Danio rerio: one gene and its partners. The protein of the gene in region 3 interacts with the protein of the main gene of each other region in a pairwise test. Links are inferred from orthologs where the notes say so. Each region holds a gene or a part of one and is shown on either strand. Other genes may lie near its edges. The genes, in order: nrap, rchy1 and klhl41a.

The links.
Region 1: the proteins of klhl41a (region 3) and nrap interact in binary tests that used the Homo sapiens proteins (3 or more experiments, as listed by UniProt). The link is inferred for Danio rerio from reciprocal best matches to the Homo sapiens genes KLHL41 and NRAP.
Region 2: the proteins of klhl41a (region 3) and rchy1 interact in binary tests that used the Homo sapiens proteins (3 or more experiments, as listed by UniProt). The two-hybrid records come from large-scale screens. The link is inferred for Danio rerio from reciprocal best matches to the Homo sapiens genes KLHL41 and RCHY1.

Annotation. Positions count from the first base shown.
Region 1 is NC_133187.1:32,487,381-32,491,034, reverse strand, and holds part of nrap (nebulin-related-anchoring protein), read right to left. Parts: coding exon 3,565-3,654; intron 3,486-3,564; coding exon 3,378-3,485; intron 2,654-3,377; coding exon 2,456-2,653; intron 2,154-2,455; coding exon 2,049-2,153; intron 1,902-2,048; coding exon 1,803-1,901; intron 1,718-1,802; coding exon 1,613-1,717; intron 1,224-1,612; coding exon 1,116-1,223; intron 990-1,115; coding exon 678-989; intron 581-677; coding exon 476-580; intron 1-475. UniProt on the Homo sapiens protein: May be involved in anchoring the terminal actin filaments in the myofibril to the membrane and in transmitting tension from the myofibrils to the extracellular matrix.
Region 2 is NC_133180.1:9,850,090-9,853,743, reverse strand, and holds part of rchy1 (RING finger and CHY zinc finger domain-containing protein 1), read right to left. Parts: intron 2,914-3,654; coding exon 2,798-2,913; intron 385-2,797; coding exon 306-384; intron 227-305; coding exon 123-226; intron 1-122. UniProt on the Homo sapiens protein: E3 ubiquitin-protein ligase that mediates ubiquitination of target proteins, including p53/TP53, TP73, HDAC1 and CDKN1B. Mediates ubiquitination and degradation of p53/TP53; preferentially acts on tetrameric p53/TP53.
Region 3 is NC_133184.1:50,135,957-50,140,230, forward strand, and holds the start of klhl41a (kelch-like protein 41a), read right to left. Parts: upstream 2,898-4,274; 5' UTR 2,813-2,897; coding exon 1,724-2,812; intron 1-1,723. UniProt on the Homo sapiens protein: Involved in skeletal muscle development and differentiation. Regulates proliferation and differentiation of myoblasts and plays a role in myofibril assembly by promoting lateral fusion of adjacent thin fibrils into mature, wide myofibrils.

The DNA of each region.
Region 1 (3,654 bases), on a different chromosome or scaffold from region 3:
GTTGTTGCAATGTTTACAGTGCTAATCCTATACTTCCAGGTTTCTTCCCACCACAGCCTCGCTTCCGTGTTTTTAATATGGCGGCCGTGTAAAATAAGCATATTGCTGTAAACCAAATTGCCCTTCAGGGACAATGGAGACATTCACATCCAATTCCAATTACTGGTCTAGTTGGCCGAAAAACATGGTCACCCAGTTCTCAAGCAAAACAAAGAGAGTGTAGCTGGTTCCCTATCGTTCCTAGTCCCCATGCTGACCACCAGCAATCATGTTAGTTCAGGCAGGCAAACAAAGCATATTGTTTTTCAAAGCAGAAAGGTGAAATATGATATAGTATTTAGGCTCTGGCATTAAGATATTGAATTTTTCTGTCAATTAGAATTCAAGTTATGCATCTCAGCTGACTAATTGTGCTTGGATATCTAAAAATGCATGGAAATAGCTTAAGTGTGTATGATAAGCCTTGTTCATGTACCTCGCTGGCTAAATCTGTGGCTTTTCTAGCCTGTCGTATGTCAAGGGATCCAGTAGTCTCCCAGCCCACTCCTTTCATCCAGTTCAGGTCAGAGCGATACTTTTTCTGCAATCAAAACAAAGTTTGTTTCATAATACTTCAACCAAATGCATATATGAGCATGTTTCCGCTTCATTAAATTGAGATCTGGGAAAACACTTACATCACTCTGCAAGCCGTAGGCTTTCTTGGCCCATTCCAGTTTCATATCACTGGGCAGGATGGTGTACTTGTGCAAGAATGTTTTGTAGTTTGTCTCTGTGGCCAGCTCCTGGGCTTTCTTGGCATGGGTGAGGGTCAACATATCGAGTGAGGCGCTGTGTTTGGTCTTGGTGTCCTCATACTGTTTCTTGTAGTTGAGGTCACTGTGGAGTTTGGTAGCATGGGTCGAGTGGGCCATTTGAGAATCGTCTGCCACAGTCTTCACGCCAATCATCTTCCCTTTTGTCATTTCATATTTTTGCTTGTACTTCACCTACATACACAAAGCATCAGAAATGATCATTTAGATTGTATTAAGTCACCATACAGAACCTAAAGCTCCAGTGTCATTGAGTGGCAAGTGAGTCATGTGCTTTCAGTAGGGTGCTTGTTCACTCACATCACTGGCGAGATCTCTTGTTGCTTTGGCAGAGAGAATCGAAAGTGTGTCCAAGCCTAGCTCAAAGCCCTTCTCCCTCTGTTCATCCCAACTACTCTTATATGTTTTCTAAAAACCAGAAACCCAATGTGTTGATTAAAAGCAGAAGTGGGTTGTTAGTTCTTGTGCAGGTTAATGGTACAAAATACAGTGTATCCACTATAAAGGCGATCAGTTGACTTTACTAAAAAAGGGAGTAAACCGGTTGCTTTTGAACGGATTACTGTAGTTGACTTAAACATTTTAAGGCAAGGGGTTTACTCTTTTTTTAAATAAATGAAATGTGTGCATAATTAAAAAAATTATAATTCAACATACTGTAACACTTTCAAGTTACAACGGGTTTATTCACTTTAAGTTAAGTCAACTTTTCACATTTAGGGCAAGAGGTTAACTTGCTTTTTTAAGTAACTAATCACTTTATACAGTGTACAAGTTTATGTGATTCAGTTCCATACCTCACTGAGAAGCTCTGCGTTAGCTTTGGCTTGCTTGAAGAGAGGCTCATCTTTGCTTATAGTGTACTGGTGCATTGTCTGTTCTGTGCCTGCCTTGTATGCCAACTGCGTCAAAAAAAAATCCAATCAATCATCTGAAAAGATTCCAGTTAAAAGAGAGACAGATCAGATCAGATGCATTGTATCTTACCCCACTCTGCAGCTCCTGGCTCTTCTTGGCATGCATGATGGAAGGAGTATCTGCCACTTGTGTGAACTTCACCATATCCACCTTCTGGCGATACTTTTTCTGTATAGAATTGAAAATATGAACATTTAAACAACACTTAACAACTGAAATTGGCTGTCCAGCAGTGTATGGTGGTATGACTTTGTGGTATGGCTAGTTGTGAAGCCTAAATTAATGTCTGGTAATGCAAATCCTGTGATCACCAACCTCACTGAAGAGTTCTCCTGCTTTCTTGGCCTGTTCTACATCTAGGCATCCATCGGCCTCCCATCCAACTCCTTTCATCCAGTTCAGGTCTGATCTGTACTGGTTCTGTAGTATATAGTATATATAAAGTAATATTTAGAGCAGTGTTTCCCAACCGTGTTCCTGAAGGCACACCAACAGTACATGTTTTGGGTGTCTCCCTTATCTGGCCCATTAATTTCAGGTTTTGGAGTCTCTTCTAATGTTCTGATGACTTGATTCAGATGTGTTTGATTGGGAAGAGGTTGAAAATGTGTACTGTTGGTGTGCCTTCAGCAACAGGGTTGGGAAACACTGATTTAGAGTATTTAGCAAACACATAGAGTTACATTATGAGTATCATTCCGCTCTGTTCTTGCATTACTTACGTCACTCTGCAGTTTGTAGGCTTTTTTAGCTTGCTGCACTTTCATGTCATCAGACAGGAGAGTATAATCATGTAACTTCTTCCTATATTCCAGATCACTGGCCAGAGCTTGAGCCTTCTTAGCATGACTCAGATTCACCATGTCCTGAGGCAGGTGGCACTTGGATTGAGTTTCCTTAGAATCCTTTTTATAAGCAACCTATTTTAAAGAAATTTTAATTGGTTAGGCTTTGTATAGGTTTGTATTTTGGATGTTTAAGGGGCTTTATGTAAGACTTTTGTACATATTGATAGCTTTTTTATTGTTTAGAAACACATAGGTTTTTAAGGATTAGCCATTTGAATAAAGGCTTTTTAAAGTTTCCAAATTTTTCGAGTGCCTTGGACTGATTTTCGTTGTTTTTTATTATTTTTTTTGTTAATTCCCTTACCCAAAGAGCACCGACAAAACATTTAAGCTACCCCTAAGCACTTTTTGTTTGTTTTATGTATATCATTATAAGTATACTTTAAAAAAACATTCCACTTTCTTTATTAAAAGGCACAACAGCGAAATTCCTTGATTCCTTAATTTAGGCCAGAATGAAAGTACAGTTTCTACACATATATTCCGTTTGTCTTAGTACACGATGTAACTACAGAAGAGTCAAGCTTTAAATAGAATTATTGAAGCAAGATTTTAAAGTGAGATGCTAATGGTTTAATCCAATTTAATGATTTATGCTAAGTTAAGCTAAAAGTGTAAATAAATATATTCAAAAATGGTAAAACTCAACTGTTTAACTCTAAGACTTGTAAAATAAACCTATTAAAATGTTAAGGCCACGAAAAAAACAAAACAAAAAGGTTTCTGAACTCTACATAAAGCCCCTTTAATTAAAAAAACTATTGTTTAACTTGACCTAACTCTGTGTATTGTTTACCTCACTGCTTAGCTTGGCCACCTGAAGGGAGTGCAGTGTTTTGGAGTCACTCACATCCATTCCAATGGCTTTGTCCTTATTCTTTGTATAGGACTCCTTATATTTAATCTGTAGACCCCAAGAAATCCAATCAATCCAAGAAATAAAAAACATTCATTTTTACCTATATTACGCATTTAATTCTTACATCACTAGCCAGATCTCGAGAGGCTTTGGCAGCTTTGAGAGTCAGTGTGTCCAGGCCAATTTCACATGCTTTGGATTTGTTTTTCTCCCA
Region 2 (3,654 bases), on a different chromosome or scaffold from region 3:
TTAATCGTCAAACACAAAAAAACAAATACAGTACCTATTTAGTATCCAAGATCAGCGAATCAGTGCATATTCCTGAAGTGCAAGTAACTTATTTCATGCAGGGCAGAAGTTGAAGCACTCACCCGTGCAGCAGATGACCGCATGGCAGAACGTGAGCTCCAACTCTGGACGTGTGGATGTCCTCCATGCAAACGGGACAGTTCTGCCTGGAGACGTTCTCAACACACTGAAAAGCACAAACACTGCTTCACATCTCACTACTGACAGCAAGCAACGTTCAAGAATCAAAACGCTAAATTGCATACCTTGTGCTTGTCTTTTAGCTCAGTACCTAAACATAAATTACACTTCGTACAATGGAAGTATTTCTCTCTTGGACCAATCCTAAGGACAGAAAAAAAGAGGGTCGATCTGAATCTTATTAGAAGAATTTCATATGTGCTTGTTCAATAAAAACATGTAGAGTTGAAGTGAAATTATTCGTCATCCTGTGAATTGTTATTTCTCTTTGACATATTTCCCAAATGGTGTTTAACAAGGAAGGAATTTTTCACAGTATTTCCTGTAATATTTTTTTCTTCTGGAGAAAGTCTGATTTGTTTTATTTTGGCTAGAATAAAAGCTAAAGAACAATCCACAGTTATACAGTGACTTGCCTAATTACCCTAACATACCTAAATGACCTAGTTAATCATTTAAAAGTCACTTTAAGCTGAATACTAATGTCTTGAAAAACATTTAGTCAAATATTATATTCTGTCATTGTAGTGGCTCTTTTCTTTAGAGGCTCTCTCAATGGTTATGAAGACAAAGTCTTACCCAAAATGTCTTTTAAAATTTTACTCTTTGCAAAGGTCAGACAGTCATACAGCAACAGGTTTCTGCAGAGTGAGATGCAGCAGGAAGAGTGTGTTCCCTTTTTATTGAGTCCCTTCTCTCTACCTGTCCTCAGGTCTTCACACTTGCTCCCAGTTACATTCAGAATAGATTTTTAAAGTATTGCTACTCGTCTATAAATCACTAAATGGCCTCAATACAATACAGACATGCTCTCTGAATAGAAACCCAACAGATAACTCATATCTTTAGGATCATATAAACTAGAAATCCAAGAGTTCAATCAAAGCAGAGTGAATCGGCCTTCAGCTACTAACAGCGCCCTCTGCTGGAATCAGATTCCAGAAATGATCAGGGGCCTCATGTACGAAGACTTGCGTGGAAATCATACTAAAACATTGCGTACACACAAAGCTGTAAATGTGCGTACGCAGAACAAAATTCAGATGTATGAAACACTGCGTTCGCCGAATCTCACGCATATTCTTTTGTACATCTGAATGAACGTGAAACTGAGCGCAACATGCACGAGCACAAATCCCCTCCCTGCCTCCTCCCCCGTATGAATATGCTAATGACTCTACTTTGGCAAAACCCAACGAAAAAGCAACGGCAAAACGAAGCAAGAAGAGAAACTTTGAACAGAATGTGAATTGGAGGTGCTGCTTTCGGAGGTAGACCGGAGAAAAGCGGTGTTATTTGCAAGTTTGTTCTCCGGAATTAACAACAAAAGAAAAAAATATATAGTCGGAGAGTTTAGCTGATGCGGTTAACACAGTTGGATCTGAACATCGCACTGAGTGAATTAAACAAGAAATAGTGTGATTTATAGGTGTAAAATGTTGCACTACCTTTAACAGTCTCAGTGGCGCAGCTTGTAAGACGCATGTCAACATGTTTTGACACGTTCGAGCATGAACTCGGTTCGAATCCAGTGTCTGATGAACTCTTTCTTCTTTTTTTCCCCGTTACATATCAGATTTTGCCAAATATTTATCACGAGAAAGACAAGTAGGAATAATTAATAAGTTTGTGCATCATATTTTATTTGCACATTTATTGAATGGAAATGTTTCTGATTCACGCATGCAAATTCATCTTCAGATAGTGTCTTTATAGCAATGTGCGTGCAGTAGATCGCTCAGATTACATTGGGAAAACAGACGACCGCTGCAAATTGTGCTTTAATGTTTAGCTGGTTAACTGTATGGTATGGAAACCTTATATACCTGCTAGATGAACCCGTCTCATACAGCTGCCATTGCAAGGCTCAGACACTTTGTAGAGAGGAATTTAACACAACTGCCTCTAGAGTCCAGAGTCGCCAATGGAAATAAAACAGACACGCACAAAAAATGTGGGTACGCCTGCCATAAAGCTGCGCACATTCCCACGTTCAGTTCATTGTTAGTAAATCCAAACGTGAGCGATTCTGAGCGTGAAACCTGGCGTACGCAAAGTTTTTGTGTGTACGCAGCGTTGATACATGAGGCCCCAGATGTGCTCCAACATTAGGCACATTCAAATCAAGACTGAACACACATCAGTTTAGCCGTGCCTTTACTGAATAAGCACTAAGCTACATCCGACAGACTGCACAGTTGTGTCTTTCTTTTCTTTTTCATTCTTTAATAACCTGTTTTAACACATTTTCATCTGTTTTTAAATAGTTTTTAATATTAGTTTTTTTTTCTAACACTTGTCTTTTTTATTCTTGTTTATGTGAAGCACTTTGAATTGCCACTGTGTATGAAATGTGCTATATTAATAAAACTGCCTACTGCCTATAAGGTCAATCAGTAACATATGCCATGGATTAATTATCCTCTTCACATATTTCAATTTTAATTATTTTAATTCTAATTATTCAGGAAGGCTAATAATTTTGACTTCTATTGTATATATTAATTTATATTTTTCCCGGAGACGGTAGATGAAAACATTTAAATACAATGCAAACCTGCATATCCCACAGGGCTGGCAGTGGTACTGCTTCTTGTCTTTGTCAAATAGATGGCAAATGTCACAGTAATATTCTCCGAACTTCACTTCACACTCTTTACATATCTGTTGAGCCTGAAGGACAGAATATGCAAAAGCTTTAAAGGGACAGTTCACCTGAAAATTAAAATGTCCTAATTTTCTCTAAACTCAAGTGTTTCTGAATTTAATTCTTCTGTTGAACACAAGACATTGCGATAATGTTAGAAAAAGCAGCCATTGACTTCCATTTTAGGATTAAAAAACAAACAATGGCTGTTTAGGGCAGTACAATGGCTCAGTGGTTAGCACTGTCGCCTCACAGCAAGAAGGTCGCTGGTTCGAGTCCCGGCTGGACCAGTTGGCATTTCTGAGTGGAGTTTGCATGTTCTCCCCATGTTCACATGGGTTTTCTCCGGGTGCTCCGGTTTCCCCCACAGTCCAAAGACATCTGTTGTAAGTGAATTTAAGAAACTAAATTGGCTGTAGTGTAGGAGTTTGAGAGTGAAGGGGTGTTTCCCAGTAATGGTTTGCGGCTGGAAGAGCATCCGCTGCTTAAAACATATGCTGGAATAGTTGGTGGTTCATTCGACTGTTAATTTTCCAAAGAAAAATGAATGAATGAATGAATGAATGAACGAACGAACAATGGCTGTCCCGCAACATCTCCATTAGTGTTTAACAGAAAAAACTCATCAGGTTTGGAACAAGTGGAGGAGTACATGATGACACCATTTCTATGATTTGCTTTTAATTATGATCAGAGCTGAAAAAATAAGCAAAATATTGGAGCTTTTGTGAGAGATTTTTGTTTAGAACAATTAAAATTGTTGCGTT
Region 3 (4,274 bases):
TCTATGTTTGGTAACGTTAACCCTTTACAATAAGATTCCATTAATGTGTACTAACATGAACAAGCAAGTTTTCATCTTTGTTAGGGCTGTACATTAACTAAGCACAAATTTGGATTGCATTCATTAGTAAATGTTAAACTATGATTACTATTATATACTTTACAAGTATTGTTCAATCTTAGTTCAGGATAGATAAACTATGAAACCTTCTGTAAAGTGTGACCAGTAGCCTACTTTTAATAAGGTCTTTTGATGCGGAAAACATGAAATCTAATTTACCTCGGTCTATTTGAAGCCTTTTTTGTTTAGTTTCTAGTCCAAATATCTAAAAACTCTTAAATCTAGAAGCATTTTTTAGACATGTCTCATTGCTGAGTAACTTTCCATCTTTCACTAATTCAGAAGATCTCCAAAGTGGGGGAAATAAGAATTGTTTATTTCTATACACAGTTTACTTCTTGGGAATAATATTTCTAAAGGAGCTGTTAACACGTCTCATTTTAAGAAATAGTGTGTAAAAATGAAGTGAGTTTTTCCTTATAGGAAGCAAAATAATCTGTCAATGAGGTAATAACAAAAAAAAAAAAAAAAAAAATCTTTGCTTACCCCATTGGCAAATAATTTAGCTTGTTTTAAGGAAAAACTCACTTCATTTTTACTTAATATTTCTGATCATTAGACAATATTCTAGAAAATGCTTTTTAATTTAAGAATGACTAGACATTTGGACTAGAAACAAAACAAAAACTCTGTCGCTTCATGATGAAAACAGTCTCTAAACTAGTGGTGTAACGGATGACAAATCTCACGGTTCGGATCACATTAGGGTTTTTTAGTCACAGATTGGACCATTTTTCGGATCAGCCAAAAAGGAGTGGGGACAAATGTAATTTGCTTTCCATTTATATAACAAAAACATTAAAAATATGAAAAATAAAATGAAGGAATAATCAGCTGAACAAAAATAAATTGTAAAATATTCAGTACTGTGAAAAATTCACTGTCACTTCTACTGTTGCTGATAACGCTAAATATAGAAATCTAACATTATAATTTGTACAACTCATATTTTAGTCTCATTTTCAGTTTATTCACTCCTAAAATGTCATGTTTCATTGCTTGATGATCATTATTGAAAATTATTTAGTGGCATATTTTTGATGGCTTTTTGTCGCCACTTGTTTGGTTTAATAATTTTTTTTTTTTTTTTTGCGCATCAAGTTAAATGCATATGACAGTGATTTTAATCTACCATAAACATCAGTGGTTATATCTAAACTATAAACTGTTCTCCCAGTACTTCTGTGTTTTTTGACTTTTTGTAACTTCTTTACTAATTTAAAAAAGACTGAAGAACTGAATCTCTTTCTGGATTTTTGTGTTTATCAAACACAGATTTGAAAGCAGCGATTCAATGGATTAATAAACATATGCAAATCTCCATAATTTATAATTTGTTGCATGGGTGTTGAAATCCCGATCTTTTAATAATTAATCGTGCAGCTTATACTGAATGCACTAATGCAAATAAGTAAGAAAAAAACAAGTCAAGTGCGTTTCGAACTGTGGGTTGTGATCTGTACAAATCATGGATCAGCCATGATCTGTTACACCCCTACTCCAAACAGACAAAAGTAAATTAGATTTCATGTTACAAAACAATCTAAATAAGCCATGGTATAGCCATGAAATATTACCTATATCCACCCTGTATACTATATACCTGATAGAAATAGCACTGCAGCGGCGAATCCTTGTTTTCTTCATCAACAAACAGTCCTCCTGCAACATACAACAGATTCTTTTTTGACGTGATGCTGACGTGGTTTCGAGGAATCTGCTCAGCCATCGCTGCTAGAAAGCATTCGTTCTCGTTGGCGTCGTAGGCCACGGCTGCAGTGTCGTTTATCATCAGGATGAGATCCCTGTTGAACATCCCCAGCCGTTGGCTGTCATTCAGAAAACCAGGCAACTCATTTTCGCCCTCTCCTTCTTTCTCACCCTCCTTTATTTGTGGAAGTTTTCCAGCAAAAGCATCCTTAATGACCTTCAGCTTCTTGATGAGTTCGGGGTCGGCCTTAATAATGTCATCCTTTTCCACTTTCTCCTTCAAGTATTTTTCCGGCAGTAGTCGAAAGCGAATGTGTTCGAAAGCATCGCCCAAAGCCTTCGCCCGGTTTTCTTTGTTTTTTCGCACCCACTTCATCAAGAGCTCAAACACAAGCTCTTCTTTTTCAACATTGAGAGCGTCACACCCAATAATGGCAAAAAACTCAGGAGCGTTAAACTCAAGAAATTCTTCGTCTTTGGATAAAGTCTCAAAATGCTCCGCTATGAAGTCCCTAGCGGACACAGCCAATCTCGGACAATTCAAAACCAGCCCCATCCTGAAGATAGCCAAGCAGTTTCCCAATGAAAGCTTGTTTTGTAGGTAATTGACGCAAACCGTGAACACTGATGGGATCTGAAACTTATTAGCGACCGCAAAGACATCTTGCACATTGTCATCGGTAATATCGATGTCTGCAGAGTAGAGGTAGTTCACTATCATATCCATTATGTTGGGATCCACATTCTCCAACACTACTTCCTTGTTGGCATCTTTCTTCTCTGTGCCGTCTTCAGTAAAGTACAGCTCTCGGAAATACGGACTGCACGCAGCCATGATGAGTCTATGGCAGGGAAGGCTCCGATCTCCAACTTTCAGTATGCAATCCACAAACTTGTTCTCCTTCAGAAGTTCCTTCAAGCCATCCTGAAGCAGGGTGCTCTGAAAAAGCCTCAGGTCCTCTTTGACACTCATTGGTTCCATCTTTAAAATTCGCTTGATGAGGATACGATACTTCCTCTCGTTGTGCCGTCTCAGTTGTAAGAGGCTGAAATAACACAGAGCACCAACACAAGCAATTTAAGCCCCGCTTCTCTAAATATAGAGCCCTCATCTAGTCAGAAAGAATTCGGGCTGAGCAAACGGGAGTCGCGTAAAGCAGCTGTCAAAGACTGAAAAAGACAACTGTGAACCTTGGACACACTCAGAGGTCAGGGGTGTTTAAATGCGAACTATATTATTAAATGACGCGTCAGTAATTCAACAGCTGTGTAAAGAGGTTTAAAATAGTCGGAAAGGTGTATGTCATTAACCTTTTTTAACATGTTCATCATGACTCAGAAACAAGTTGATGTGACTCATTCGTGTTGCACTTGTATCTTTTTGGTTTTTATTTAAATATAGGCTCAATACAGATTAAAGCTTGGATGTCAAATAATTTTTTTAACTTATTGAGAAGTAAAACTGAGGGAATCGTCTTTGGACTATTAGCCGTCTCTGGCAAGCTGAAATAAAAGCTGGACAATCTATCCGATTACATTAAACCATCTATAAGAAATCTAGGTTTCATCCTTGATTCTGCCCTTCTATTTGACAAACAGGTAGTTAAATCTTGTTTTTTCCAGTTGAGATTATTAGCCAAAGTGAAAGGCTTTTTAACTTGTGGAATTCGAGAGATTAACTTGGGCATTAATATCATCACACTTGGACTATTGTAACTCAATTTATATAGGTATTGGCAAATCCTATATAAATCGCCTACTAGTGGTCCAAAATGCAGTCGCTAAGTTTCTTACTGGTACCTGTAAATTTGAACACATTAACCTATCCTATGCTCTCTAAGTGAAGTTTATGTATAAACAAATTTCGAGAGGATCACGTGCTTATGATTGCTAGCGGCTGGATCCGCATTATCCAATTCACTATGCTCCAATCAGATGACTCCTAAACTACTATAAATACCCTGGGTTTCATTCCACTGCTATCTTCGTTTTGAAGAGTCTTCCCTTCCACCCCTACTCCTCCTTCCTAGATGGGTGACACGGTGGCCCAGTGCGTAGCACTGTTGCCTCACAGCAAGAATGTCTCTGGTTCCAGGCTTAACCAAACCAGCAGACATTTCTGTGTGGAGTTTGCACTTTCTCCCCGTGCTCACGTAGGTTCCCCCAGGTTCCCCGGTTTCCTCCCACCGCCTAAAACATGCAATTAAGTTAATTGAATAATCCAAATTGGCACCATAGATATGCTTCTAGTACGTGGTTATCTTCAAGAGCAATCACTTACTGTTCATCAGTTACTACAGCAGGGGAGTTCTTGAGATCTACCTGAGCTCAAACTCCCCTCCCGCCTTGCAACGGGAGGGAGCCCTGGGCTCGAAGATCTCATGAGCTCAGGGCTCTCTCCCGGGACAGCATGCTAAACAAGCTTTCATAATTAATCATCAGCT